Linked DNA regions of Oryctolagus cuniculus. The protein of the gene in region 3 interacts with the protein of the main gene of each other region in a pairwise test. Links are inferred from orthologs where the notes say so. Each region holds a gene or a part of one and is shown on either strand. Other genes may lie near its edges.

Region 1 (6,047 bases), on a different chromosome or scaffold from region 3:
GCACACAAATCAGTTAGGGGTCATATTAAAAGGCAGATTCTGACTTTGGGGGGTTGGACTGGAGTCAGGGTGAAAGAGCCTGCATCTACTTCAAGTGCAGGTGCTATTGATGCTGGTGCCCGTGAACCTCACGATGGCAGCAAGAGATGTTATGACGTCTTCTCTAGAGATGTTTAAAACAGAAATAGGGGTGTATGAAATCGGGATAACTTAGCCTCACCCACCAAAGAGTAAAGATCGATGATGTAATTCCTACAGTATATAAACATGAATACAGCACAAATGTTTCCCAAAAGTCTGAATATTAAGCTAGCTCTTTTAACGTGGGAATACAAAAAGACTGAAAACTTTCAAGAGAAATTCACGGCAGATGCTTTACCCACTCCCACAGACAGAAGTAGATTTCCTATCAGGGATATGAGCCCTTATAAAAGAATGATCTGCAGTCCCCATAGTGTAGATGGAAGAAAACAGGGCCACCATAGGAAATCTTCAGTACATTAAATAAAACCCAAATACAAGGAAGATGTCCAACATAATTTTAATTATGCCCAACATAATTAAAGGAGCATGATATCACTGCATGTCAAAAAATCGTTTAAATTCTAAAAATATGCTCTGAAGATGAAAAAACTTAAAAATACTTCAACAAAACCACATCAAACGGTATCTACTCATCATGTCTACTGATGTTTGCTCAGTAGTAGTAAAATCCTTCCATCTCAAAATAGTACTTCCACATGTAAAGTCATACTTGGAAAAATCAAGACAAAGGAGAGTACTTCAGACTCTTCCAGGAAACCCTGCCAGTGCCAAGCGTGCGTCACAAGCCGAGTGAGGTCTTCCCACTTGCTCCTACAACTTGACACACAGTTGTTCCTAGTGCGCCCCAGAGATGCTCCTCACGGAAAGCCGCAGCTGTGCGGCCGGCCAAGTGACAGCGGCTCCTCCACTGTCCCTGTGCTTCCCAGCCCCTCAGATGAAGGTCTGGTCGGTCACTCCAGGGACGGCAGAGTTACAAAGAGCTTAACCCAACAGAATTCTGCACCTGGTGTGTAAGTCAGAACAGCTAAACCTCCTGTGACATCAACACAGGATATTTCTTACAACATAGTAAATCCAAAACGTCTGGATAACCCTTGTGAACAATACTCGCAGAAGTCTTCATGCAGTACCATTTTTCACAATCAGCATAATGAGGAAGCCTGAATCCAAAAAGCCCTATATTTCAAATGGCCCTCCATTAAAGAAACTCAAAATAATGCACATACAGCGCATGCATTTACAGGAATGTGTACTCCGCAGAGTCACATTAGGACATTAACTTGGATTCATTAGAGTTTAAAAAAAAATAAATAAAAGCAGGCACACCCTTGGCTCTGAAACACAGACCTCCCCTTCCAGTTAGCAGTCTGAAATTTCCCTTTTCACACACACAGACTCAGAAGAGTCTGAGCTGACATTTGCAATATATGCCACTTGCCAAATCCCACACTGAACAACTGGATTATAAAAATGGCATGTAGAGGGGAAGTGCCCTGAGCACTAGCTGCAGCGGAACAGAAGAGAACACTGGGAATCATCTGCTGACCTTGGTGGCCTCCCCTTCCTGAGCCCTCCCCAGTCGCATCTGCTAAAAAATACACATGCACCAAAAACATATAAACAAACATAAACGCAGCCCATTACCATCGCAATCCCATTAGTCACGCCTGGAGATTGAACTTGGCTATCTGAATCAAGACATCTGAACACCAATTTACCATCACTCATCTACCTAATGTTCCTTAATAAGGAATCCAACTAGCTTAGTTGTATCTGACTTAAAGAAAACGCAAACGGTGAAAACAAACACAGGTTAAAGGAATCATTTACTACCCATCAGAAAATACATAAATTCATTTTCAAACGACTCCCTGAATCTGAACGCCAGTATTTTTTTTATGTCTCTGGAGCATAAGAACCACAATACATTAACCATCTCATTTTATAAAAATGGTTTCCTATAGGAAAAATTCATATTCTGTTTGTACCGACCAAAGACAGATGAGGGCATTGTAAAACGTCATGTCATAGCTGTGCAGGTCCGATTAATAAACAGCAACTTTTCCCATACGAAGAAATCGATGTCTAGCTGGGCTGCGGTTAGAGGTTATCGACGATCCACAGGAAGACGCTGCGACTCCCACACCAGCTGCACCAGCGTCCTCGAACATCCCTGGGCCCTGTCCTGCCTGCAGCCCCTCCCTAGGGCGCCGCTGGTCGGAGATCAGATTCCGGTCCGCAACCCTCAGCCTGCATTAGTGCTGCAGGGCACCCCTCCGTCCCCGCACAGCCCAACGGGCAGGGCGGGAGGGGGTCATCCCGACCGAGCGGACTGTCCCCCCCTCCTGTCTAGGTGGCCTGGTCCTCCCGACGCCTCAGCGTGCAGCTGAGGCAGCATGACGAGGTAGAAGCGCCGCGGGCCCCGCCAAGGGCAGCCCGGGCCCTGGGTGGGGCCGGGCGGGGGCCGCAGGCGCCGAGTGGCCGTGCCAAGCCCCGCCGGCGAGACCCGGGGAAGCTGCGATACTGCAGCATTGTGCTGCATCACGGCGAGAGACGCGAGCCATCCATCTTGCCAAAAAGGAACATCCCCGCCCAAACAAACCCCACCGAACCCATTTCCCCCCCTGCCCACGCTCGCCCTCTCCTCTCTCTCTAGCTGGCCAGGCTTTGGATGAGAAAAATTACGGACAATGCTTGGTGTACCGATCCCCGCTCCTCCCCCCATCTGATAGCAGCACCTGGCACCTTTCCTCCCACAAAAACAAAGGGAGGCTCCCCCCCCCGGAAAAAAAAAAAAAAAGCAGGCCGCGGGCGTGGTGTGGGGGTGACGACGAGAGGGGCGTCCAGCCCACCTCGCAGGGCAGGCCAGAGGGTCCCCGCGCCGGTACAAACCTGTTGAAGGCAGGGTGGCAGGAGCTGCAGGGCGGGCGCGGCGGCGGCTCCGCGCCCCGAGGAGGCTCCCGCCCAGCCCTGGGGGAGCGGGGGCGGGCGCGGAGGGGGCGGCGGGCTGGAGGAGGGGGCGCGAGGGAGGACGCCGGCAGCCGCCTCCGGCTCAGCTGCAGCGCGGCGCAGCCCGGACCACGCCTGGCCGCATCGCCGGTACCGTTACGCGCGCAGCCGGGCCCTGTCAGCGCCGCCCCCGCTCCCCACCCGCCCGGCCCGAGGCCACCAGAAAATCCCGCACCAGCCCCGGGCCAGGGGCTGCGGCGCCCCGCCGGAGGGAGAGAGGGAGGGAGGGAGCGGCGGCGGCGGCGAGGAGGGATCGGCGCTGCGGACCGGGAGGTGGGGAGCGAGCACGGGTGTGTGTGGCCGCCTCACTGCGGAGCTCGCCGCCCCCCGCCCCGCATCACCCTAGCACCGACGAGCACCGGAGACCCAAGCTCCCCGCGTCGCCCCCGCCCGGACTCTGCAGGCTCCCCGCCCCCACGCCGCTCCCGGGGCGCAGGGCAGCGGCGTCCTCCGGCCCAGGGCCCGCGCCCCTCCTCCCGCCCGCCCGAGAGGCAGCCCCAGTGAGTTGGCATCTTCTTGCCTGGGGGCCTCTACCTACCTCCAGGGATGGGGTGGGGGCGCCGGGGTCCCGTCCTCCTCCCGCTCCTCGGCGGCCGGGCGGGTGGGCCGGGAGGCGACTCCGCGGGGCTGTCCGCGGCTGGGGCCGGGGCTCACAGGACGGGACCGGTGGGCGCTACGGCGCGGGTCTGCGCGCTCGCTCCGGGAGGAGAGGCGGCCGAGGGAGGGACTGGAGGAATCCGCAGCCTGCAAGGCAACAGCTGCACTGATTCCGGGGGCTGGGCGGGAGCGCGGGGGGCGGGGGGAGGAGGGAGCTGGCAGGGAGGGGGCGAGGGGCGGGGAGAGGGAGCGCGGGCACAGGCGCGGGCGCGCACGCGCGCGCTCTCCCGCACGCCCTGCACCCGCCTCTCCGCCGCCTCCCTCGCTCGCGTGGATCCTCCCTTTCGCCTGCCCGCGGCTCCGGTCCGCAGCCCCGCCGCCGCCCACCCGGCGCCTGCTCTGTGCGGGAGCCGACCGCCAGGCGCGTCCACGCACGCAAGCCGAGGTTTTTCCGGGTCCCGGCGGCGGGGACCAGCCAGGACGGGGTGGGCACGGCTTGCCGCTGCTACCCGCGCGGAAGGACAATGAGGGCTTTGTCCCCACAGCGTGCGAGGGCCAATTTCACGTTTAATTTGAGGCTAATTCGATTATCGCCATGGAAAGGGGCAGCCTAATTTTCTCGTGACTCGTGCAACCTCTTTGCGCCCGCGCTGTGTGCGTTTAGGACACGATCCGGGACGGCGTGTTTAGGCAGGTCTGGGACCTGCGTTGGCTCAGCAGCTCCTGGATTTGGGTGGCGACGCCTTTTGGGTTCGCCCGGCTTACAGGATGGCGGCGACATCTCGGTGGGAACCCTTGAGCTTTGCGGGAGGGAGAGGAGTTTCTGGGCGAGGATGATGGGGTCCTCCTCTGCCAGTGCTTTGTCACCTGCCTTAGTAGCACAGCCCACAAGTGGTTGGCCCGACTCCTGCCTCTGCCGCCGGCGCGCAGGCTCTCCTGCAACCTGAAGCCAGGTGCACTTCCCTTTGGGGCTGCTCTCGGTAGGGTCGCCCTGGCGCCGGTGGGCGACCTCCGTCGGTTCGAGGACTGGCACTGCTCCCGTCCGTGTTCTCGGAGACGTTTCCCCGAGTGTCTGTCAAGGGCCAGCGCCCCTGCCCCCACGGGCTGTCACACCCCATCAGCCTCAAGGCTACGTTAGGAATTCTGGAACCGCTGCTATCGGAGTAGAAAAGATGGTGGCATCACCGTGACCACGGATAAAACGCTCTGTAGAAAACACGGTCTGGGGAAAGTGACATCCTGACTGCTCTGTAAGGTGCCCACCGTGGGTTTCCAAGTGGGTTGACGAACGCCAGGGCTCTCCCTCCGCCCCACCCCGATAACCCAAGAACAGAATGTGAGAGGGTTCCATGGTTTGGACCATGCCTCTCTCAGATCAACAGAACCCTGCCTGATGGGTTGATATTTACAAATAAGGCTAAACAGAATCATCACGGCAAATTGGACGTGACTCTCCCCTTTCAGGCCTTTATCATCGGTGTCAATGTTTGTGCCAATGTTTGCTTTAGATATATATTTTTAAAATGAGGAAGGCAAATCATTTAACATTTTGCTCAGAAGGTCACAAGGTCGCCAAGGGCGAGGTACTCAAGAAATATTCGTTGGATGGAGCAGAATCCACATGTGAGCTGCTCCCTACATTAGGTAATACAGGAAATCCACTAGAAATGAAAGTCCTTTCCCTTTCACTTACTTATTTGTCACCATGGCACCCCCACACCTCCGTCCCCACCCACCATGTCAGAATACAAAAAAAAAAAAAAAAAAAAGGGACCACACTGACCACACTGAGAAGGACCTCTTTTTAAATTCTTCCCATGTCATCCTGAAGTGGTAATTCTTAAGTGCTTCCCTTAATGACATAACAGTGCTAAAATACTTGGATAGATGACTCACTTCTCCTACTCTGTTCCACCCCCACTGAAATTTTTAAGATTTCCTTCAGAAAGGACGACCACATGCAACTTTAGCCCAGTACTCTAGTCAAGAGCCACTGTGATGTGGCCAGGGATGTGAAAGACAAAGATCCCAAGTTTGATTATGGTTACCTGAAATTCTTAGCCTTGGGTGGAAAGCATCACCCAGGCGAGCTCATGTACCACTGACCAAAAAGAAGTTATGCAGAGTCTGAATCTACAGAGATTGTCAGAAAAGACATCTCTGTGAAAGGCAAAAACCTAGAAAAAAGATGAAAAGCTTTGATAATGGCAGCAATTCAGAATTGTTGCAAAATATCTCAAACAGGTTTGGGTTGAGCACTGTAGTGGTGAGGGTTAGGCTGTCACTTGGGATGCATGCAGACTTGGGATGGGTGCAGGTTCAAGTCTCAGCTACTCCACTTACAATTCAGCTTCATGCTAATACACCCAAGAAGCGCAGATGATCTCTCTCGAGTC
Region 2 (5,788 bases), on a different chromosome or scaffold from region 3:
TTAATGTTAAGTACTTTTACTACTCCCCAGTGGAGGAGGAAAAAAGCAATTTTCAATTGATCAAATGCATTTTCAGATACGGTTTGCCAGTAGAGGCAAATTCAGGCAATTCAATCTGTTTGTCTCTGTCCAAAAGAGATTTTCTTATTCTGGACAGCTAAACAGATGCAACAGATGCATTTTGCATTAGCCTAAACATTACTTCTTCCTGTGATCTATGAATAACGGGCCACTGGGGGACATGATGAGATATTCCTTAAGCTTCACATGCAAGAAGGCCACAGTCTAGGGACCACACGGTGATTTGGACAGCCACCGTGCCGTGCTGATCTTCCTCTCCCGGATGCTATCCTGTGTTCTGCAGGAAGATGTGTGGTGGACTGATTTTAATTTCACTGATGGGGGTTTTCATATGCAGCCTCAATTTTTGCAGTGTCTATTGTAAACAACAGCACACATTTGTAAGACACACGGTCAGATTTAAAACTTGTAACCTCAAGATTACGTGAAAATAAATGTCACTCATACTACATTCTTGCTTTTATTGTATTTAGTTGATTGTCCCCAACAAATTAATTCATTTACTTAAGTGGCAGTATTAATATTACACTAATTATATTTAACAATGGACACATGAAATAACTATTTTTCTCCTGGTTTAATATTCTGCTTGATCTATCTGAACTTTGCTTTTTTTCTTAGGACATGGACTTCCCATCTGTGCCCACTCTACTGGAATAATGCAGTTTGTGTCTACTTCCACGATCCCTGCTTCACCACGGAACAAGCAGTGTGAGATGGAGATCTCCAGGAGGCTATCCCATTCATGGGTACGTCTCTTTTGATGGCCAATGGAAAAAGTAGGTATAGGCAGGAGAATGAAAACATAGTTACCGAAAAGTTGCATTTATGAAGGTGTGTGAGGGACAGCGGTCAGGTTTTCATCTTAGTTTGAGGGGGAGAGAGGGGTGGGGTGAGAGTAATGGAAGGGAAGAGAGGCCAAGCTAAAAAATAACTTTCATAAATAGTCAAATTTGCTGTAGGAAATAAAAGTACAGAGGTAATAGAAGAGGAAAAATCATAATTTTAATACTTAGCACTTATGGAATTATTGTTATTCCGATTTTACAGAGGGGGCACTGCAAGACGGAGTGCTTGGTTGTTTAGAGTCTGCCCGAATTTACACCGTTAGTAAATGCCAGAGCTTGAATTCCGGTCCTGGCAATCTGAACCACCAGTTAAAAATGTTAGGTTAACAAAGTACACACATAGAGTGGGAAAACTTGTAGGGGTCAGGCCAGTCCTGCGGCATAGCAGGTAAAGCTGCCACCTGCAGTGCCGGCATCCCATACGGGCGTGGGTTAGAGTCCCTGCTGCTCCACTTCCCATCCAGCTTTCTGCTATGGCAGATGGCCCAAGTCCTTGGGCCCCTGCACCCTTGTGGGAGACCTGGAAGAAGCTCCTGGCTCCTGGCTTCGGATCAGCCCAACTCCAGGTCTTGCAGCCATTTAGGCTGTGAACCAATGGATGGAGGACCTTTCTGTCTGTCTGTAACTCTCCCTCTCAAATAAATAAATCAATCTTAAACAAAAACAAAAACAACCTTGTAGGGAAGGAACAAGAGACCAAGGGAATAACTGGGGAAGAAAGACCGCTTTAAAAAATTACCAGTGGGCTGATGACAGCTACATATTACTGACAATCGGAGCATTTTGTCTATATCAGCTCATTTAATCCTGCAGGCGATTCTGTGAGGTGGGACCTGATGATGAAAAACATTCTCTGCTTGCACCGAATTGCGCCTCAGTTGCTGACTCTGGAGCAACACAAGGAAGGCTCTAGGAGACTAGGGCACGGAACTGAGCAAGGCAAGGCAAGCAGGCGGAAGGTGGGAAATGCAGGGAGAACCTGGTTCCAGCGTTCAAATCTCTTCGCCGGCCCGCCGGGTCGTCACAAAGCCCGCCCCTCAGTCACGAAGCCACGCCCTCCGCCTCCGAAGTTCTCAGAGCTCCCAATACTTCCCTCTTTCTCTTTGACCCGCCCACCCCGCCAAGCATCAGTTCCTGTGCGCTGACTGCTGATTGGCCCAGAGGTCGGAAGTGAGGGCGGGCGGTGGGGCCGTTGCCGCAGTGACAGAGCTGGGGGTGTCCGAAGATGGCGGCGTCGCGTCGCTCTCAGCATCATCACCACCATCATCAACAACAGCTCCAGCCCGCCCCAGGGGCTTCGGCGCCGCCGCCGCCACCTCCCCCACCTCTCAGTCCCGGCCTGGCCCCAGCGACCACCCCAGCCTCCCCAACGGCCGGTGGCCTGGCCCCCTTCGCTTCCCCGCGGCACGGCCTAGCGCTGCCGGAGGGGGATGGAAGTCGGGATCCGCCCGACAGGCCCCAATCCCCGGACCCACTTGACAGTACCAGCTGTTGCAGCACCACCAGCACAATCTGTACCGTCGCCGCTGCGGCCGCGGTCCCGGCGGCTTCTGCTTCGTCTGCCGTCGGGGTCGCTCCCAATCCAGCCGGCGGTGGCAGTAACAATTCACCGTCGTCCTCTTCTTCCCCGACGTATTCCTCCTCTTCCTCTCCTTCCTCCCCTGGATCGAGCTTGGCGGAGAGCCCCGAGGCAGCCGGAGTTAGCAACACAGCGACACTGGGACCTGGGGCAGCGGGACCTGGGACAGGGGTCCCAGCAGTGAGTGGGGCCCTACGGGAACTGCTGGAGGCCTGTCGCAATGGGGACGTGTCCAGGGTAAAGAGGCTGGTGGACGCGGCAAACGTCAATGCAAAGGACATGGCCGGCCGGAAGTCTTCTCCCCTGCACTTCGCTGCAGGTCAGACTTTTGAATTACTTATTAATGGTACCGGGGTCAGGGCCGGGGGTCCGGCTATGAAAAAACAGGTAATTATGATGGGGCGAAGTGGGGGCGTGGCCACGGCCGGTCCACTCTTCGCCGGAAGACCAGAGGTTCCTTTCTTTAGGGAGCGCCTGGGTGCCAGGGGTGTGGGAGGGGAGGTGTGAGTCCGTTCTTTACTGTTTGCAAACTGATACCTCTAACGAGACTCCCTGTAGTCGCAGGCGCGGGATAGTTGGAAGTACTTAAACTTTTTCGTTCCGAGTGTACAGGAATAAAGTTAAGATTTGGGCGGCTTTGGAGTCGCTTTGTCGTCGCTGTGGCCAGTTTGTTTTCAGAATAAGGGTCTGTCCCTTGAGGACGGTCTAGATCGGAAGAAGTTTAATGTAACTCCGCAGGCGTTTACAGATTTTTCCTGTTGATCTTCGTAAAATACATTAATAAAAGACATAACCGAAGTTTTGGCACCTCCCTCTTTTGAAGAAGTTTGCTGTACAGTTGAGACCAGAATATGCCTGCATGAAACAACTGGGAGAAAAATATTTGGATGCATTATGTGACAATGGAAGAAATACAGGCTTTGAAGTTTTGTTATTTGTCTAGCAGGCCGTTTACCTTAAATCTCATGGGCAAAAACAGATTAAGGTTATTTGAAGATCTAGTAAGGAGTATGCGGCATATGACATCTAGGAAAAAAGTGGGAACTCCTAACTCTGGGTACTGCACTTTATCTGCCTCTCCCTCCCTCTCTCCCTCCCTTCCTTCGTCCTCCTTCTTCTCTCTCTCTCTCTTGTTTAGCAAGTTGTTGATTATTTTCTTTTAAAAACACTTAATATATTTTTATAAATTACAGGGACATATAGAACAAAGACAAAAAATTAAACATCAGAAATATTACACTGAAATTATACACCTTAAAAACACATTACAAAATCCAAGTAGGACAGAAAGATATACAATGAAAAACACCACCCCCACACAGAAACATCAAAGCTAACACACCAAAGATACCCTCTGTTAAGTTTCTTGCTACATTTCTGATATAAGTCACTCCTTCAATTTGTTCTGTTAATAGTAAACATGTAAAGATCTCACTGTATTATTCATTCTTACCACAATTTGGGAAATAATATTATCCTCATTTTACAGGTATTAAACATGTAGCACATCTTGTTTAAATTTGCATTCACTCAGGAGGTGGTTGAACCTTAAGTTCAAGCACTTGGGTTCTAGAACTTGTGAAATCAAGCTTTAATGAGCATACACTGTCCCTGATTTAAAGTCACTTTTCATTTTGTGAGTAATTATAGTGCAGGTTTTCTGATTTTCGTGATCTATTAGGAAGAGAAGTAATAGTGAGCTTACATGTAAGAGTAACTTTCACTATTTTTTTAAATTGCAGTCCATACTTAGAAATACACACAAAGTTTCATGAAACTGTACTTCCCCTTACTACATGTGCTATGCTCTGATATTTTACGTTGTATTCTATTTCATTTCATTTTTAGCAACTACTGCTTGTGATCCATTAGGTGGGTCCTGACCAGTGGTGTGGGAAATACAGGAAATCGTTATTAGATCACGATCCATTCTTCATACATCGACACTGCTCTCAGGAGTGCAGTGAAGCGAATCATAAACAGGCTTGCATCCAACTAGGTACTCCTTCGAGGGTCTTGCTTGTTTTAAATGAGATACCATTGCTCTGTCTTCACGCTAAATGAAAGCTCCATCTGATTTAAAAAGTCAACCCAGATTTGTTCTTTCCCATACTTTATTCCAAATCTGATTATTTTAACATTGCTTCACAAATTTTAGCATTTCTAATTTTACTTCCATTTGACTTCCTTATAAGTAATCACTAACAAATGTAATTAGTTTTATTTATTTGTATATTAGTATATTTAGGATTAAAACTTAGGGCTAGTCACACTTAAAATAGAGCTCGTCTTCCAAATCGTCTTCTGTCTGCAATGAGTTACTTTTAATTTTGTTCTAGAGTTTTACGTGTACCTGGATAAGCTAGAGTGCAGACAATAGCAGTCCTGTAATTGGGTTGTAGCTATGAGAACCTCACTTTGAACTTTTTTTTTTTTTTGACAAGAAGAGTTAGACAGAGAGAGAGAGACAGAGAGAGAGAGAAAAACGTCTTCCTTCCGTTGGTTCATCCCCTAAATGGCTGCTGCAGCCGGTGTTGCACTGATCTGAAGCCAGGAGCCAGGTGCTTCTTCCTGGTGTCCCATGCAGATACAGAGCCCAAGCACTTGGGCCATCCTCCACTGCACTCCCGGGCCACAGCAGAGAGCTGGACTGGAAGAGGAGCAACTGGGACAGAATCCGGCGCCTCAACCAGGACTAGAACTCGGAGTGCTGGTGCCACAGGCGGAGGATTAGCCTAGTGAGCTGTGGCGCCGGCTGAACTGACTTTTTAATAAAAATGTGAAAATATTTTTAGCTCATTTGAGGAAAACAGGCAAAATAATAACAAAATTTTCTAAGATATAAAAACGTAACACTGTAGTCAATTTACCACTTTCATGTTTATATGTATAATATTGAAGTTTTCTTAAATCTGTCCTGTCAGGCTGAATAGTTAGAAGTAATTCTTTGTGTGCGTGTTTTTTTTTAAAGTATTTATTTGAAAGACAAAGTGGCATGCCAACACACACACACGCACACACACGCACAAAGAGAGATCTTCCAACTGCTAGTTCACTCCTCAAATACTGCAGGCCTAGGCCACGGTGAAGTCAGGGGCCTGGAACTCCATTTGGGTTTCCCACATGGGTGGCAGAGCCCCCAAGTGCTTGAACCGTCGTCTGCTGCTTTCCAAGGTGTGTTAGCAGGGGTCTTGATGGGCACTTGAACTGGCACTGCCGTGTGGGATTCTGGCTTCCCAAGTTTGCTTTCCCCATGTACCGCAATGCCGGCCCCAGAAAT
Region 3 (4,751 bases):
CAGGGCAAGGCTGCAACTCACCTCGTTCCACCTCGCACTCGGGGGAGGAGGCCCCGCTGCACTCACTGCGGGGGCCCAGCACTGGGAACATCAGCCCGAACTCCGACAGGGACACGGGGCTGGGCAGGTCCAGGCTGCCGGGCCTCGCCACCGCAGGGAACGGCTCGGCTGTCTCCGACGGGCTCGTGGGTCCGGAGCTGAAGCTGGACACCGACTGCGTTTCTGAGTCATCTTCAGACACGAAGTTGCTGCAGGTGTCGTCTTCAAAGGCCTCCGAGGCCACTGGGGCGAGGGGACAGTCAGTCACACGGGTGCTGACGGTCACCTGCCCCTTCGACTTCCCCTCCCAGGGTGCCCTGCTTCAGACACAGCGCAGGGAACACACTGCGGCCCTGCCAAGCCTCTCCGCAGCCGGAGCCCTGACATGAGGTCCTCGCGATACCCGTAACCCTGCCCTCCACCTGGAAGAGCAATCAGCGGCAGAGCGGCCCTCTTGTCCACCTGTGTCCCTGAGACACACAGCTGCACAGGAAGGGGTCTGGCCCCGCCCACGCCAGGCTGGCCAGCTCCCCTCTGGCCCTACAGGAAAAGCAAGAGCCACTGGAAGACTTGGCCCTGCGGAGCCTGCAGCTGGGGGTCTTTGTTAGCCCCCGCTAACTCCTGAGCTCCGCAAACATGCACTCAGTGCCTACCTGGGTCCCTGTTTGCTCCCTCCGCAGGGCTCTGGAGCTCCGCCTGCCCTGGGGACCAGGACCATCGAGGCCCAGAGGCAGGGCCCTGGCCTCGTCTCCAAGTCTCCTGGAGCCCGCACACAGCCCATGTGTTACTAGGTCTTTCCTCCTCCCTCGCCTTTAGAAACAGCCTGGCAGCTCCCACAGAGAATTACTCCAAATGACAAGGGCTTCAGGAACGTTGGGGACACAAAACAGGCTCAGACCTCAATCCAAACCCCAACTCCACACCTTGCTGAGTGGTAACCTAACTTCTCTGGGCTCCAGCTTTCTCTCCGTGGAGGATTAATGAGCGGTAATTCACACACAGTCGCTGCTTAGATGATGGTTCCCTTTTCCCTGAGAACTAAAGAAGTCCTGGGGAAGCGCCCATGGGCCTTGTAGCACAGAAAAGAGGGGTGCAGGCCAGTGCCGGAGGGGTCTCCTGATTCACCATGAGAAGCCAGGTCAGATCTGTTGGGTCCCTGCCTGCCACGCGGGAGACCAGTCTGGGATGACTTCCAGACTCACGGGACCCCAGCATCCTGGGAAGCCGTAGCCTGCTGAGCTCTGAGACCCTCCGTGCCGGCCACAGAGGATGGGGACCTGGGAGCGCACCGCACGGCCCGACTCACCAGAGACGGCGTCCGGCTCTGGTTTGCTCCCCGCCAGGCCCTCCGCAGCCACGCTGCTGCCCTCCGCGCCAACGCCACAGCCGCGGGGCCCCATGGTGCTGGAGCGCCGCCGCTCGTGGATCTCGTCGGAGATCATCTCCAGGTTCTTCAGGGCCGTCTTGTACTCGCCTTTTGCCAGGCTCAGCTTGGCCTGCAGCTCGTCCACCGCCGCCTTCAGCAGCTGCACAGGAAGGGAGAGGCTCGGTGAGTGAGGGCGCCCCCTGCTGACCTCGAGCTGCACAGGTGACAGGTGCAAGCACACGGCCCCTGCCCATCACTTTGGGGATTGCCAACACACGAGGGAGGAAAGACCTGATTCCTCCCATCAGCCCCCCGACTCCCACCAGGGGACAGGCTCCAACAGCCCAAAGCCCACCCCAGCAGGGAACAACAGTCTGGCCGTCCTGGCCATTTGGCCCCCAACACAGTACTTCTCAAACATGCGCTCATGTGGAGGCCCCACTCCCAGAGTCTCTAACTCAGCAGGTGCAGGGCGGGGCCTGGGAGCCTGCCTTTCAATCCTGGGGCCCGCACAGGCTGCTGGTCCCAGGAGCACACAGTGCGAAGGCACAACCGGGCCCAAGACAGAAAGGGATGGAACAGCCCAGTCCAGGAGCTCCCGGGAAAACCACAGCCCAAACTGCATCCTGGGACAGCCCTGCTGCATCACAAGGCGGGGGCCGAGGGGCAGGAAGTCCCACCCGCCAGGAAGCCCCAGGCCACACGTACCTCCAGCTGCACGTAGTACTTCGCCTTGAGCTCAAAGTAAGGCCTACACAAGACAAGGAAGAAAGCGTTCAGAGTACCCTGGTGACCGTGACAGAGACCCCCACGGCTGTAGCAGAGGCCAAGGGGAAGGAGGGCGAGGCTCCCAGCCACCACCCGGGGTACACACGGCGGTGGGGGAAGCACAGCAGCACTGCCCACCTTCCCCTTGCCCACAAAAATGCCACGGACGCCAACACCTGCTGCTCAGCAGAGCCCAGAGCGCCCCCTGCAGGCCGTCTCCCTCACTGCACCTGGACCCCACCCAGGCCCAGGCCCCTCCCGGCTGGAACTGGAGTCCAGGGCCCCAGGACAGGTCTTTCTGGAGCCCCGCAGGTGCACCCTGCTCCAGGTCTCTGGCTGGCAGGCCATCCCCAGCCCCGCTCCTCTCTCTTGGAGGCCCAGCAATTTCGCAGGAAGCAGGGGCTTGGCGTGGCCCGGAGAAAGAGGGCGAAGGCCGCACCAGACTCACTTGGACTTGTTGATGGCTCTCTTGAGCTTCTTCTCCAGCTGCCGCATGCGGCCCATGGCGGCGTTGTACCTGGCCGCGGTCTCCTTATGCACCAGCTCGCTCCTCGTCTTGGTCTGCTCGGCCTCCATGACCTTCAGACAAGAGCAGGGGTCAGCCCGGGCAAGCCCAGAACAGCTGCTGCTTGGGGTGTGCCTTACATCACTCTGTAAAAATACGCTTTGGGGAAACGAGCAGGCAGAGAGAAACCGGGGCAGGGGCTGATGGCAGACAAACGGCCAAGCAGCACCAGGGCAAAGAGCAGAGCCATCGAGAAACTGGAAGGAGAGTCCTAGAAAGACGGGGCACCAGCAGGCACAGGGGCCCGTCAGGCTGCTGCCTGCAACGCTGGCACCCACGTGGGGCGCCAGTTCAGTCCAGCGGCTCTGCTTCCCACCCAGCTTCCTGCTGATGCGCCTGGGAAGACAGGCGATGATGACCCAAGGAGTCGGGCTTCTGCCGCCCATGTGGGAAGCAGGCCTGGAGGACCTGGCTCCTGGCTTCGGTCTGGCCCAGCCCTGGCTGTTGCAGCCACTTGGAGAGTGAACCGGATGGAAGATCTCTGGTCTCTCCCTCCCTCCCTGTCACTCCGCCTTCCAAGTAAAACATCTTAAACAGAGACGCAAACAGGTGTGACAGCAGTGTAGCCAACGAGGCAATCCCGATTTCGGTTGTTTGGGCCTTTCCCAAATGTCCCAAATTAGCTGGCCGGCCACAGAAGAATCCAGGACCTGGAAGGGTCAACGTTAAACAAAAGCCAAGTCGCTCCGATCTGATTTCAAGGCTTACAAAGGTTTATGACCAGGAGACCAAAGTTCTGGCAGGATGTCCTGGTGGGAACATTTTGTTAAGCCTGGTGACTCAAAGGCCATCGGTCCAGGGCCCTCAATAGCACACACCCAGAGACGGGGGCCCGGCCAGCCCTCTGCCCGGCCTCCTAAACCCAAGCAACAGAACAAGGCCTGCCTGGAGGAGAGGAGAAGCACCTGGCCACAGCGACAGCTTCCTAACCCCTCTCCATCTTCCACCAACAGCTCACGCACGCTGATCTGGGGTCTTGATTGTCCTGTGGAGCCCAGCAGGACACTGCAGGAAGGGGCCGCTGTGCCCAGAACTTAAGGTTAAGAGTGAGGCCCCCCACCTGGGAGGCCAACGTCCTGCCATCTCCTCCTGGCCAGCAGCCACGGTCAGCCACGGCGCACTGCGTTGTGATAAGGACTCTAAAGGCTAGCAGGGCAGGTCACGAAAGGCTTACTACAGGCATGAAAAAGTTGGGGGGGGGGGGCGGCTGTGGTGTAGCAGGTAAAGCCCCAGCGTGCAGCCCCAGCATCCCGTGTGGGTGCAGGTTCAAGTCTCAGCTGCTCCACTTCTGATCCAGCTGCCTGCTAATGTGCCTGGGAAAGCAACAGAAGATGGCCCGAGTGCCTGGGCCCTTGCACCTGTGTGGGAGACCTCCAAGAAGCTCCTGGTTTTCAATCGGCCCAGCTCTGGCCTTTTAGGGAGTGAACCAGTAGACGGAAGACCTTTCTCTCTCTTCCTCTGTGTGTGTGTGTTTGTATGTAACTGCCTTTTTTTTTTTTAAGACAGAGTTACAGAGCCAGGTAAAACCAAAGAGAAAGGGACAGAGAGACAGAGAGGTCTTCCATCTGCTGGCTCACTCCCCAAATGAATTCAACGGCCAGAGCTGAGCTGATCCGAAGCCAGGAGCTTCTTCCAGGTCTCCCAAGTGGGTGCAGGGGCCCAGGGACTTGGGCCATCGTCTACTGCTTTCCCAGGCCACAGCAGAGAGCTGGGTCAGAAGTGGAGCAGTTGGGTCTCAAACTGGCACCCATGTGGGATGCCAGCGCTTCAGGCCAGGCGTTAACCCACTACGCCACAGCGCCAGCCCCAGTGATGTATCTTTTAACAAAGGCTTCCACACTGGTAGTAGTTTTTAAAACAATAAAAACAAAACCAGAAGCAACTGAGCTAAGGCAGTGGTGACGCGCTTGCTCAACCGGGACCAGAGGGCTGGAAGCATTTTTTCTTTTTGCACTGAAACGCACGAGAAGCATGTCACACGTGACCCTGGGGGAAACAGCAGTGACTCTCGGG
Region 4 (6,111 bases), on a different chromosome or scaffold from region 3:
GGGGGGGGGGCAGGCATTTGGCACAGTGGTTAAGATGCTCATACGAGCACCAGTTCTAGTCCTGGCTGCTCCACTTCCAATCCAGCTCTCTGCTGTGGCCTGGGATAGCAATGGAAGATGGCCCAAGTCCTTGGGCCCCTGCACCCACAAGGGAGACTCAGAAGAAGCTCCTGGCTCCTGGCTTTGGATCGGCGCAGCTTCAGCTGTTGCAGCCATTTAAGGAGTGAACCAGCAGATGGGAGACCTCTCTCTCTGTCTCTACCTCTCTCTGTAACTCTGTTTTTCAAATAAATCTATTAAAAAAAAAAAAAAAAAAAAAAAGATGCCCATGCCACAAATCACAGTGCCTGGTCAAGTCCTGGTTCCTCGGCTTCTGATTCCAGCCTCCTGCTAATGCTCTCTCTGGAAAGCAGCAGATGGTAGCTCAAGAACCTGAGTCCTTGCTAACCAACTGGGAGACCCAAAAGGAGTTCCAGGGTCTTGGCTTTGACCTGGCCCAGCCCTGGCTGTTTGCAAGCATTTGGGGAGTGAACCAGTAGATGGAAGATCTCTCTCTCTCTCTCTGTCCTTCAAATAAAGTGAACATAAATAATTTTTGAGCTATGACAGGGTGTTAAACAAAAAACTGATATCCAAGTTAGTCCTGAGGAGATGAGAAAAGCTGAGGTTTACAGAGCCCTGAAGGATGAGCGGTGTTGCGCCAGGTAACGAGGGCAGTCCAGGCACCAGGAATAGGAGGCCCAAGGAGCCTCAGGTAACAGACTGCAAGGTGGGCACATATACAAATAAAATAGTCTCATAAGTCTGAAGGAAGAGTTCCAGCTATGAAGATATCCACAGAAAATGTCCAGCAAGCAGGTGCAAATACAGGTGTTGAACTACCAAGAGCATGTAGATATGAAACATATTTTCAACTTTGTCTTAGGTGGCTTAGACTCCCTGCTGGTAGACAGTTGGATAAGAATTGGAAGATACATTTATCAGTCAGACTGTACACTTCTACCTCCTCCCATCATTTCTATTCCAAGGGCAACTCTGTTAGAGTCAAAAGCCCCTTTGTGTAGAGGTGGGCGTTTGGCCTAGCTGCTAAGCCAGAGTTTGGGTTCAATATCAGGCCCTGGCTTCTGATTCCAGCTTTTGCTAATATGGACTCCAAGAGGCAGTTGTGACGGCTCAAGTAATCGGGTTCCTGTCACCCACATGGGAAACCTGGAGCTCCCAACTCCCAGCTTCAGTCCTCGCCATTATGAGCACTGGGAAAGTTAGCCAGCAGAGGAGAGCAAGGTGTTCTCTCTCACTCTCCCTCTCTCTCCACTGCCCAAACTTTCAAGTCAATAAACACCTAAGCATTGTTTTATGTAAACAAGCAAAGGGGACTGCTGAGGACTTTGTAAACGCCAATGTGCACCTGTCTAAAGACGGCAGCTATCCATGCACCCGCAGCAGGTCACTGGCTGGCTTTTCACGTGGGACCTGAGTGGAGAGATTTTTCTTCAACAAAAGCTGTGAATTCAGATTTTGTGTAATATCTCCCATGTGTAAACACTTAACAATAAACAACACTGTGCCAGCCAAACAAAACTCTTCTGAGGACAGATCCCAGCAGGGCCCCCCACGTGGCAGACAGTGAGTCTGCCAATTCTAATGCCATTCTTTGCACTACTTCCAAGGATCCTCAACCCACAGACCGGTGGTTCCCCTGGGATGGGACCTGTAAGCTTCTAAGCAAAATGACCCCAAGTGAGTAATGCTTCATGAGGCTTTTTGGGTATGTTTTCAGACAACTGTTTTATTTTCCTCTACCCTGATGGAACACCAGCTTCTAGCACCACTGTGACCTCCTACTCCCCTTCTATCACAAGAAGACACACTTGCAGGCAAAGCACAACTAAACAGATGGAGAACCTGGTAGGAGTTCTAATGAATGAAGTATACCGATAACACACACACACACACACACACAAAACACACTTTATTAGAAAACACCAAAGAGATGTTAATGACTAGCCAAACATTTGAGGGGGAAAAGTTGGTAGTTCAATCCTTAATATATGAGCAGATTTTGCTAACTAAGTAGGTTCCACTGTAAGACTGCAAAAGGGGGAGGGGGAGACCAGGGCAAAAAAAGAAAGTAAAAGCTTCTGGCCTTGGATAAACTCAGACACCTTTTAAGACACTGTGTTCAAGTGGAAATGTTTACCATGAAAGACTAACCATAACCCCAGCCCTCAGGAGGAGCAAAGCTGTATTTTAACCAGATCTCATGAAACATTCTTTGGGCAACAAGAAACTGGGATTTAGACACACAGTTGAAAGCATAAAGCCACCCCACCAGAAAAGGAAGAAATGAAGAAAAGGAAACGAAAACAGTCCAGTTGTTTTTAAACTCACACACCAGTTTCTGATGTTTTTAACGTGCAGTGTTTGTCACAACGTTGCTTTACAAACAAAATGTAGCAACATTTCCTATATAACTTTAGATAACAATGTGGCCAACGTAAACATACAAAACAGAGGTTAAAAATTCTAACCCAAATGACATCACCAAGATTTTCAACCGTCAAAAAATAATAAGTCTGAAAATACTGGCATGTGTAGCAGCTCCTCGTTAATCGGAGGGGGTGCCCAGGAGAACGCAGAGGGAGCAAAGCAGGCCATGCTGCCGCCGGCAGGCAAGCTCGCAGCAAACATGATGGCCAGAGCGTTATCGGGCCAGTGAAAGGAGCGTCCCGGACACTTCAACCGGGAGGCTGACAGCAGCTCGGCAAAGAGACCGGCCAGGAGGAGGGGTGGCCTGCGCTGACCTCCGCTGAACCCCGGGGCTCCCCCGACTGCTGTCTCCGACCCTCTCCCCGCGGCCTGCCTTCCCACACACCGGGGCACGTCCCCGCCGAGCGCCCGCCGGCTGCGGAGGGACCGGGAAGAAAGGCGGCCCTGCCCGCGCGCGCCCCGCCTCCCCGGCCGGGCTCCGACCCGGCGCCCGCCTCGGGGGCTGCGGCCGGGCAGCGGGGTTCCCCGCGCTCCTCACCTTCTTCAGCGCAGGCACCAGCAGCCCCCGCCACTTGGGCGCGTTCTCCTCGCTGAAAAACTCGTACGGCAGCTGCTGCGCCTGCATGGTGCCCCCGGGGCGCCTCTGGGCGGGGAGAGGGGCGGCGGCGACGGCCCGGCCGGGAAGCCGCGAGAGGGCGAGCTCGCAGCGCGGAACAGGGCCGCGGCCCCTCCGGACGGCCCGGCCCCCTCGGGGCGCCGCACGGCCGGGCTAGCCCCGGAGAGGCGGCTGCGGGACGAGGCCCGCGCGCGGCCACCCGCCCGACACCGGCACCAGCCGCGGAGAGCGAACACGGCCCGGAGGTGGCGGCGGCGGCGGCGGCATCCCGGCCGCACCACCGCCCTGGGGCCAGGCCCCCCGCCCCTCCCCGGCCCGCCGGCGCCGCCCCGAGCTGCCCTCCGCCGCGGCCGCCGCCCGCCCGCCCGCTGCCGGGGCTACGCTCCGCTCCGGGCCCGGCCTGCCCGGCCGAGGAGCTGGCGGCAGGGGGAGGGCGTGTGGAGGGGCGCTCCTGCCGCGGCGCCCGCTCGCCCAGCGAGGACTTCGACACGCTAGAGTCTTAGAGCGGGAGGGAGCTCGGGGGCGAGGAAGGGCCCGAAGTCGCCGCTGGGGTTCCGGCCGCCGGGTTGCACCGCGGCCGCCGCCGCCGCCGCCGCCGCCGGTGCAGCGCTGGAGCTTCCTACTAGCGAACTGAACCTGCGCGCTACTGAGCATGCGCCGCCGGGCTGGGCCGGTTCCCTCCGGGTTTTCCGGCTCCCGGTGAAGGAGGGAGGGCGAGGGAGGGCGCCGGGCCCGGCTGTGGCTGCGCTCCCGGGGGCTGCAGGGGAGGGGCGGTGGGGCCCGAGAAGTCGAACCCTGGCCGAATGGGGCCTGCGGGTGGGGGTGGGAGGCGAGCTGTGCTGAGACGGCCCCCATTGTGTGGCCGCGCCGCGAGGGATCCCACCCCTCTCTTGGAGTCCCCGGGCCTTGGTTTCGGAAAGGGGTGTGTGTGTGTGTCTGGGTCTGTGTGTGTACTTTGTTCCCGACCATGAGGATAAGGGCTGCTCGGAGCGTGCAACGTATAGTAAACAGACTGCACAAAGATAGGTTTCCCTCTGCTCAGTATTTGTCAGGTGGCAGAAGCGACTGCGATGTTTCCAGCCGGCCTTTCCACAGCAAGGGTAGAATGGGTGTTCAGGTTCAGCCTGCGCAAACCCACATCAGACAACCAACTCCAGTCAGTGCTTCCCTGCCCTGGAAAGTGGGACATCATACGCGGTTCCCAGGTTCCAGAGAACCTCACTTGGTCTGTTTTGCGTTTTCTATCTTCCCCGGCATTTTGGTTAGATCGTGAACGCCTGCAAGGCAGATCTTTTTCTCCAGGGAATGCTTGTGGAATGCTAAAGGTGCAGTGTATAAATTTGTCCCTCGGTTCCAGGGCTGCAGATGTTGGTTTCCAATACCACTGTTGGGTAGACACCTCGTGGTTTTCATTAAACACTAAAGTATCGCTCCCTGAGCCCTCACAGCAATCATGTTTTCATTTCACAGAGAAGACAGTGCAGAGGACTAGCCTGGGTTGAGCTGGCATTTGTGTCCTGCTGGTCCATGGAACAATAGCCAGGATCCCAAAGCTGAGAAATGTTTAAGCGGTGCATCTTAATCTTTACAGAACTTCTCTGAGAATCTGAATCAAGTCTTGGGCTTTTTCCTTTTAAAAATGGGCATGCCTGATTTACACTTTCAGAAGTGTTCAGTGACATTTTGAAACCCGTCAGTCAGTCCTCTGGAAGAGGAGAACCTACATTGTTTGGAGTCGAGTTGGGGGCGTCTCAGTGGAGAACGTGTTAGACCCCTTCCACTACCTACAGGGCTGATATAGGTGAAAAGGCTTTGTGTGGTTCTAAAGGAGTGAGCCTACACTGGTGGTCTGCTGCCAACTATTCCTTGGCTCTTCGTTGCTCTTAGAATACATTTCAGGCCAGCGCCGCGGCTCACTAGGCTAATCCTCCGCCTGCAGCGCGGGTACACCGGGTTCTAGTCCCGGTTGGGGCGCCGGTTCTGTCCCGGTTGCTCCTCTTCCAGTCCAGCTCTCTGCTGTGGCCCAGGAAGGCAGTGGAGGATGGCCCAAGTGCTTGGGCCCGGCACCCTCATGGGAGACCAGGACCAGGAGGAAGCACCTGGCTCCTGGCTTGGGATCAGCGCAGTGCCGGCCATAGCAGCCATTTGGGGGGTGAACCAAGGGGAGGAAGACCTTTCTCTCTGTCGCTCTCACTGTCTAACTCTGCCTGTCAAAAAGAATACATTTCAAACTTCTCATGGTATCCCACAAAGCCGTGCACCCGGCCATTTATATTCTCTGCGTTTCCCCACCACTCTCCGAGCACATTAGTCTCCTGCCTTTTGCTAGAAAACCCCATCCTCTTTCCTACTGCAAAATCTTTGCTCATTTCTAGGTCTCAGTCCCAACTCTTCACTTGGCTGGTTTTGTTTTTGTTTGTTTGTTTTTGACAGGCAGAGTTAGTGAGAGAGAGACAGAGATAAAGGTCTTCCTTCCGCTGGTTCACCCCCCAAATGGCCACTATCCGAAGCCAGGAGCCAGGTGCTTCTCCTGGTCTCCCATGGGGTGCAGGGCCCAAGCACTTGGGCCATCCTCCACTGCACTCCCTGGCCACAGCAGAGGGCTGGCCTGGAAGAGGGGCAACCGGGACAGAATCCGGCGCCCCGACGGGGACTAGAACCCAGTGTGCCGGCGCCGCAGGCGGAGGATTAGCCTAGTGAGCCGCGGCGCCGGCCTACTTGGCTGGTTTTAACAGCCAGCACCGCAAGCCCTGGCTAATTACACGCCTCAATTTTGCTTGTTGGTCTCCCCCAAACTCCAGGAGGTCATCCATCTTGCGAATCTTGCTCCTCGTTGTATCCTCAGGACCTATAGCGCCTGCACACAAGGGGTGCAAATTTTTTTATTAAGGAATATAGAAAAGTTGCATGGAGAAAACTTTTCACTAAGACGATATAAAGTATTTGTCCCAGGAAACGAGCGCCCTTCGGGGCTGTGCAAGGAAAAACCCTATACTCAACTCGCT

Evidence for each region. The genes of interacting proteins can lie anywhere in the genome.
Region 1: the proteins of SH3BP5 (region 3) and SPTBN1 interact in a two-hybrid assay, tested with the Homo sapiens proteins (2 studies listed by BioGRID and IntAct). The link is inferred for Oryctolagus cuniculus from reciprocal best matches to the Homo sapiens genes SH3BP5 and SPTBN1.
Region 2: the proteins of SH3BP5 (region 3) and TNKS interact in a two-hybrid assay, tested with the Homo sapiens proteins (2 studies listed by BioGRID and IntAct). The link is inferred for Oryctolagus cuniculus from reciprocal best matches to the Homo sapiens genes SH3BP5 and TNKS.
Region 4: the proteins of SH3BP5 (region 3) and SOS1 interact in a two-hybrid assay, tested with the Homo sapiens proteins (2 studies listed by BioGRID and IntAct). The link is inferred for Oryctolagus cuniculus from reciprocal best matches to the Homo sapiens genes SH3BP5 and SOS1.

The regions. Positions count from the first base shown.
Region 1 is NC_091433.1:148,184,286-148,190,332, forward strand, and holds the start of SPTBN1 (spectrin beta chain, non-erythrocytic 1), read right to left. Parts: upstream 3,734-6,047; 5' UTR 3,593-3,733; intron 3,052-3,592; exon of another isoform or gene 2,938-3,051; intron 2,495-2,937; exon of another isoform or gene 2,038-2,494; intron 1-2,037. UniProt on the Homo sapiens protein: Fodrin, which seems to be involved in secretion, interacts with calmodulin in a calcium-dependent manner and is thus candidate for the calcium-dependent movement of the cytoskeleton at the membrane.
Region 2 is NC_091433.1:79,202,081-79,207,868, forward strand, and holds the start of TNKS (poly [ADP-ribose] polymerase tankyrase-1), read left to right. Parts: upstream 1-2,055; 5' UTR 2,056-2,154; coding exon 2,155-2,827; intron 2,828-5,788.
Region 3 is NC_091435.1:150,924,073-150,928,823, forward strand, and holds part of SH3BP5 (SH3 domain-binding protein 5), read right to left. Parts: intron 2,753-4,751; coding exon 2,622-2,752; intron 2,157-2,621; coding exon 2,114-2,156; intron 1,566-2,113; coding exon 1,346-1,565; intron 283-1,345; coding exon 22-282; intron 1-21. UniProt on the Homo sapiens protein: Functions as a guanine nucleotide exchange factor (GEF) with specificity for RAB11A and RAB25. Inhibits the auto- and transphosphorylation activity of BTK. Plays a negative regulatory role in BTK-related cytoplasmic signaling in B-cells.
Region 4 is NC_091433.1:163,752,191-163,758,301, reverse strand, and holds the start of SOS1 (son of sevenless homolog 1), read right to left. Parts: upstream 3,734-6,111; 5' UTR 3,116-3,733; coding exon 3,029-3,115; intron 1-3,028.